2 linked regions of the Oryzias latipes genome follow. The protein of the gene in region 1 purifies or fractionates together with the protein of each later gene. This does not show direct contact. Links are inferred from orthologs where the notes say so. Each region holds a gene or a part of one and is shown in the gene's direction. Other genes may lie near its edges. The genes, in order: lethal(3)malignant brain tumor-like protein 1 and anapc1.

Evidence for each region.
Region 2: the proteins of lethal(3)malignant brain tumor-like protein 1 (region 1) and anapc1 purify together in Homo sapiens (affinity purification with mass spectrometry; 4 studies listed by BioGRID and IntAct, counting the BioPlex papers as one, with this or other methods). This does not show direct contact. The link is inferred for Oryzias latipes from reciprocal best matches to the Homo sapiens genes L3MBTL1 and ANAPC1.

Annotation. Positions count from the first base shown.
Region 1 is NC_019865.2:7,371,661-7,375,491, reverse strand, and holds part of lethal(3)malignant brain tumor-like protein 1, read left to right. Parts: intron 1-546; coding exon 547-635; intron 636-867; coding exon 868-972; intron 973-1,129; coding exon 1,130-1,265; intron 1,266-1,935; coding exon 1,936-2,027; intron 2,028-2,339; coding exon 2,340-2,491; intron 2,492-3,361; coding exon 3,362-3,438; intron 3,439-3,780; coding exon 3,781-3,831. UniProt on the Homo sapiens protein: Polycomb group (PcG) protein that specifically recognizes and binds mono- and dimethyllysine residues on target proteins, thereby acting as a 'reader' of a network of post-translational modifications.
Region 2 is NC_019873.2:15,506,911-15,509,975, reverse strand, and holds the end of anapc1 (anaphase-promoting complex subunit 1), read left to right. Parts: intron 1-1,697; coding exon 1,698-1,829; intron 1,830-1,960; coding exon 1,961-2,109; 3' UTR 2,110-2,519; downstream 2,520-3,065. UniProt on the Homo sapiens protein: Component of the anaphase promoting complex/cyclosome (APC/C), a cell cycle-regulated E3 ubiquitin ligase that controls progression through mitosis and the G1 phase of the cell cycle.

The DNA of each region.
Region 1 (3,831 bases):
TGGGTTCTCTCCGGGGTCTCCGGATTCCTCCCACCGTCCAAAAACATCGTTCATAGGTTAATTGGCAACTCTAAATTATCCCTAGGTGTGAGTGTGAGAGTGAATGGGTGTGTGATTGCGGACATTCCACCCTGCGACAGACTGGCGACCTGTCCAGGTTGTCCCCTGCCTTCGCCCACAAGTGGCCGGGATAGGCTCTGGCAGCCCCGTGACCCCGAAAGGGAAAAAGCGGTTAAGAAAATGAATGAATGAATTAACTGCACATGTGTTGCTGTTTTTGCAATTCTTTTGTAATACTGAAAAAGTACTTTTTTAAAATTATATTTTTTTCTTTTCTTCATCTCCTTTTCTATTATTTCTCCCAATGAGATAATAATGTTTTTAATGAAATTAGACGAGAAGATTATTATTCTTAGTTTTTTCCGTTTTTGGTTGGCTTCCACCCCTTGATTCTCTCCATCTTTTTTCTTTCATTGATGCGCTTGTTCTAAAAACTCTGATTGGCCGTTGCATGAAGTAATAAGCTGACTGGTGTCTTTTGAGAAGGAGGGGACAGTAAAACAGAAGAGTGGACATGGGCTCAGTATCTGGAGGAAACCAAAGCTGTCGCTGCTCCGAGCAAGCTCTTCCAAGAGGTAGACTTGTCTTCCAAAGTACACATTGGTTGTCTTGGAAACTAAACCTAAAATTAACCTAAACAAAGAAATGCATTTTGACTGTTTTTAATATGATAAATAAAGGATTAACGAAGTTCGCACTATGGTTTCATTTTTTAAAAACCTAATTTTTGAAGCGGTTTGGGTGTTTTTGCGTCAACCAAGTTTTATTTAGATGTTTTTACAAAGGGAGTTCTTTAAATTTCTCCAGACGCAGAGGGTGCCTACAGTGAAGAACGGTTTTAAGCAGGGAATGAAGCTGGAAGGCATCGATCCGCAGCATCCCTCCATGTACTTCGTCCTCACTGTTGCCGAGGTGAGTCGGGCAGTAGATCCGAAAAAAAGCGTGCCTTATAAACCTTGTTAATCATTAAGGCACTTCCAAAAAATAAGTGACAGCCTGCCAAAAAGTTTGGGGAGGTGATGACCTCTGTGGTTGGCTTTGCTTAATGTGCGCTGATGCCGTCATGCAGGTCTGTGGTTACCGGCTGCGGCTGCATTTTGACGGCTACTCTGACTGTCATGACTTCTGGGTGAACGCCAACTCCCTGGACATCCATCCTGCTGGCTGGTGTGAGAGCACAGGACACAAACTGCACACGCCCAAAGGTCAGAGGTGACACCACCATAGATCTAAATGCACGTCAAAGGACCATTGTCTTATAAATGATATAATTTTTTTGCATGCAAACGTTTGGGAAGTCTCTACTTTAATCATACTGTAGCAAAGTGAGTGCATGAATTCAGGTTCTTTATTTATAATTTAGTGTAAAGATCCAAATAGCATTTATTTATTTTAATCAGCATTTTTATTTAAAAAAAAATAGTTACGACATTTCTCCTGCTTGTTTTTTTCCGTTATTTCCCTCCACAGTAGTTATAAATCACATATATATATATATATATATATATATATATATATATATATATATATATATATATATATATATATATATATATATATATATATATATACATACATACATACATACATACATACATACATACATACATACACACACACACACACACACACACACACACACACACACACACACACACACACACACACACACACACACACACACACACACACACACACACACACACACACACACACACACACAGTACAGACCAAATGTTTTGACACAAACTTTTGGTTTGTACTGTATATTACTGAAAGTAAGTGAAATCCTTAATGGATGATAACAATAAATTAGTTATTATTCAAATCAGACATAAAACATGGTTTTCCTTGCATTTCTGTCCTTTTTTTTAGGATGTAAAGAAGAAGAGTTTACTTGGACCAACTACCTGAAAATGACTAAAGCTCAAGTGGCTCCTAAAGAGCTGTTTTCCAGTCCTGGCAGAGTAAGTGTCTTTGAAATAATTTATAGAAATACTTTTCTTCAACACAGTTGATGAAAAGAAACATTTCTTTAAAAAGAGCACCTCCATTAAAAACTCAAACATTTGTCTCAATTTTCTCCATGCATCTAGTTCAACTAAGAACTTTATTATCCATCTTTCTGGTGTTGGAGACTTTTATAAAATTTGTTTTTCAATCGCTGGCTGTTTAAACATTATTTTAGTGCCAAAGTCCCAAAAAAAAAAAGTCTCTATAATAAAAACTTTACATATATTGTTTTATTTAGTATTTTATTTACCCTTTATTTGTTTCAGATTGATGTGAATTGTGGCTTTGAGATTGGAATGAAGCTGGAGGCGGTTGACCGCATGAACCCTTCCCTCATCTGTGTAGCAACGGTCACCGACGCCGTGGACAACCGCTTCCTGGTTCATTTTGACAACTGGGATGACACATACGACTACTGGTCAGCCATCGTTGGTTGTTGCGCTTTTTTACGTTGTACATGAGAACTGGACCGAGTGACCCCTCCTTCCTCATGTTCCAACAAGCCGAAACCTCATAGACTTCTATGGAGAAATAGGACCCAGTACTTCTATTTGTCAGAATAACTTTTGTTGCACTGATACATTTATTTAACATCCTATTTTTTACATGATTTTTTTGCTGCATCTCAAGTTATTCAAGGCATAAACTGACCAATCAGATAAAAGCAGTTGGCTTAGTTCTTAAGGCAAAACCAGCTAAATGAGGAAAACTATCGGTCCATTATACACATTTTTAAAGGCTCAATGCAGTAATTAAATTGACCTTTTTACTAGCCCTTTCTCATAGTAAATTTAATGCTTGATCAAACAATTAACCCATTTTAAAGGCTAGAAAAAAATTCTTATTTACTGGGGTTATTTATCTGAAAGTAAATAGACAAACCACTGATTTTAATTGAATTTGTAAATAATAAATCACCTAATTGGTAGGGTTTTTTGTAATAATGAGGGAAAAAAATGAGCCTAGTTTCAGTTTCTGTCTGGGGTTTTTGATTTGTTAATCATTGGCATTGTGATGACAAACTGCAATGAGTCAGTTTTTTTTTTTTTTTTTTTTTTAACCTTTTAGAGCAGAAGTCTTTATTGTCTCTTCAATGATACACACTAAGAAGCAGTCATCTCTTTGAGGTTTGATGCCTCATGTAGATTACGCGTCTGCTGTTGTTGGTCAGCCGCTCCACAGCCTGATCCACTCAAACCGTTTCGGTGATTCTGGGATTTTTCCCACCTGCATTTATCAAACGTGTATTCTCCTGTAATTCTGTTAATTTGTTGGTGTTCTGCTGCAGGTGTGATGCCAGTAGTCCATACATTCATCCCATTGGTTGGTGCCAAGAGAGGAACCTCCCCCTTACGCCGCCCCAAGGTGACCAACGTGTTAGGAGTTAATCAGTGATTTCATTACTTTCAGAGTTATACAATAGCTCATAAACAATAAAGGTGACTCGCTTCAGTGTTCACTTCCACACCGATCAGCCAAAAACAACAAAACTGCCAAACAGCACATCATTCAAGAGAAGAGAATTCTATTTATGTGAAAGGCAGCAAAAAAATAATAAAATAAAATAGGTTAACAAATGTTTTAGCAGTCAAAATATGCAAGATGGATTTTATTTTATTCTTTTGATTGTGGTGGAAACATTAGAAAAAGTTATTTTTACTGTCATGAAAAATTTAAAGTCACTTTTTTTGTGCTTTGCAACAACAGACTATCCAGACCAAGGTCGGTTTTCCTGGTGTCTGTATCTGGAGGAGACGG
Region 2 (3,065 bases), on another chromosome or scaffold:
ATACATCCTTGCCCACACTATAAATATCGTGCAAAAAAGCCATCCCTTTAGCTAAAGAATTAATAAGTTGAGTTAAAATGAGTAAAACTATGCAAGTGTTTTATAGTTACTGATTTAAAAAAAAAAAAAGGTGATTTTGCATTTTGGCCCATTTTTTTTTCCGGCTCAAAAGGTGTAAACAAGAGTGTAAAATATGCCATGATGACAGATAATGCAGACGTAGTAGAAAGCGTACGCCGTCCCACGCTTAGCCTTTAAAAGTGTCGACATCAGGACATTTGTGAAGCCTTTGCAACAGGCATTGTCCTCTGTGAAGGGAGGTGTGTTCAACTGGAGTTTCAATCTGCAAGAAAAGCATGTGAGGAGTATCAGCTGAGCAGTCAGTTGGCTCTTTTTAAACACATTGTGGTGCTTGAGAGAAAAATATGTTTGTAATCTTCTGGCAGGGAGGGTTCTTGTTTTGACTTGAAGGACAGATGCCAAAAATTCTTTTTTTTTTTGACAACTGCATGTTGCTTGAGAAAACACACCTATTTTCAATGACATGAGCTGAACATGTTTCAGCTGGTTTTAATGCAAAGGCTGTTTCCTTCGTATTAATTTCATGTTTCAATGTTAAACAGACTGTGCATAAATCCAAACAAACACCCTCCAAACCTTCCACACACAAACACGTTTTTGGAGGACAAAACACACTCCTAGGAGCGTGGGAAGCAAGTGAAGGGATCATGTCAACATCTCTAACTCACCTTTCTGTTTCATTGTTTTGTTTAACTTGTTTCTGTTGAGGAACCAAAAGAAAAGTGCATCCTTGGCAATAACTTATCTAACAAAACTTTGCAACTCAAACATGAAGACTTTACATAAGTTACACATTTTAGTGCCTTTTCTAAAGGGCATTAAAACAGGAATGTCTCTGGTTACACACAGTCAGGTTAAATAAATATTTCATGAATGAAACATCATATCTTAAATGTCTTTCATTATGCTGTTCTAAATATATCAGAAGGGCTTTCTTTATGTTGTTTCTTTATAAAGGCCACATGTTGCAGCATATTTGGGGGATTTTTGACCAGCAGTTCAGCAGAGTTTGGGTGGCTGAATAATGCAGCTTCTTTCTATCAGTCTCTTAAAGTATTTCCCAAAATCATGGGTGGGGCTTGTTTGGGTCACTGATTTGTGTGACAAGTTTGTGACTCTTTAAGCTAAGCAGCTGCTCCCTCACCTTTTAAACAGCTGGTTATTGCTGCATTGCAGAGTAAACCAAATACACCGCCCTTATAAAATTATTGACTCTGAACTGGGTGCAGCTGATAAAGGAGCTGATCCGTCAGGGTGGAGTTGTCTTTGAGAAAATGAGACTAAAGGCTGACAAACTGCCTCTTTAAAAGCCATTATAGTTGACATTGTTTTGTGTCACTTCACTGATCCTGTATTTTCTAAAAGACAATAATTGTGAGGTTCACTGATATGAAAACATGTTCCACTCCATGTGTGGGCATGAAATAGAGGGGGATTTAGAGCACACTTTTTCAATGAAGCCTGTCGGCACATAAAAACTAATTCTCTATAATGTAATGCGGTTGAATAAGAGGTTTTTTTTTTAAGGGGCACTACAGTTTAACTTGTTATAATGGCTTGCTGAACACTTTCAATTGTTTAAAAAAAGGCTAACCCTTGTGGTTTCTCTTCTGCAGAGAACAGTGTTGTCGTGAGGTCCTACATGAGGGGGCAGGTTCCCTCCAGAGAAGCCCAGTCCTTGATGCTGGCCTGCTTCCTGATTTATCGCTCCATCCCATTTCTAAAGAGCTCGCATACACAGCTGGAGGGTAAGTCCAACAGATGTTCACACAAAACGGTACAATGTTGTCTCCTTCATGCTGTCGCAGTTGCACTGTGGCGATCGGTTGGGTATTTTAATTCAACCATAGTAACACGTCAGTGATTTTTCTGCTTACAGGCTGCACTTCATTTGGGGATTTGGTGTCCCACGGCAGCCAGCTGGGTATCCCTCTGAGAGACTTGCTCCGGCTTGTACCCATTCTGCTGGACTCTCCTATTGGATCCCACAGTCTCCTGGGTTTCCCTCTGCAGGCATTTTCTTCATGATCTATTTAACTGATGGGCAGGTTAATAGACTCAGAGATTAATGTTGCAGTTTCAGATGGGATTGAGTTCAACACACAGTCTGTAGTACTATGTTGCTAGTATGATGCAAAGTTTATGTAGCCTTGAGTGGGGATGTGGCTACAAACTGTCTTGTTCTAAGCTTGTTAAAAGTGGAACAGAAATGACAGTTTTTGTGTAATATAGTCTTATATATAGGATTTTTTACAGTTCTAAAAAGGTCTGGTGCAGTCATCATGAGGTTTATGTGCCATTGTTGTGTAACAACAAACCTGAGGTTGGACTTTTAGAAAAACTCACAGGCAGCTTCATCCTCTTCCTGCTGAGTGCAGATGTGAATGAGGATTCTTGTCATTGACTGTTAATAAACCAAAACAGGATAAACACACGTCTCTGGAGAATTCACGATTATTGTGGTTCATAACAACATAATAATTAACACAAAAAGCTCATTTATGCAGTTGCTCTGTTAATGCCTCTATCCTATTTTCTCTTCTTCGTTGTAGGTCTCCACTTTGAAGTTTAAGAAGACAGTCTGTCCCGCATGTTCTTTTATGATCGTATCACTAAAAGCTAAAGAGCAGAGCCCTTTTGTTTAGCCTTTCTTCTGTTTCATCTATATTTTCTTTTTGTTTAACACAGATGTGATTGCTGCATCCCTGTGGTAAATACAGAGTTTTCTTTTAAGTCAGTGTAGGTTCCAAACAGGCTGTGCTGTGCTGCATTGGGTGGTTTCCCACATTAAAGGCTTTCCTTCAGCTTCCAGTGAAGAATAGATTTTTTTACTCATGGGGGGAAGGGGGAGCTGGCCTTCAAGTACGTATTTTGTCTCTTAGGTTGACACAAAATCACGTTGTTGAGTCTGAAGTTAATCCAGCTGTTTGCCTTTAATGTGACTCACGATTCAAAATTAACTTAAAATGTCGCCACCTTATTTA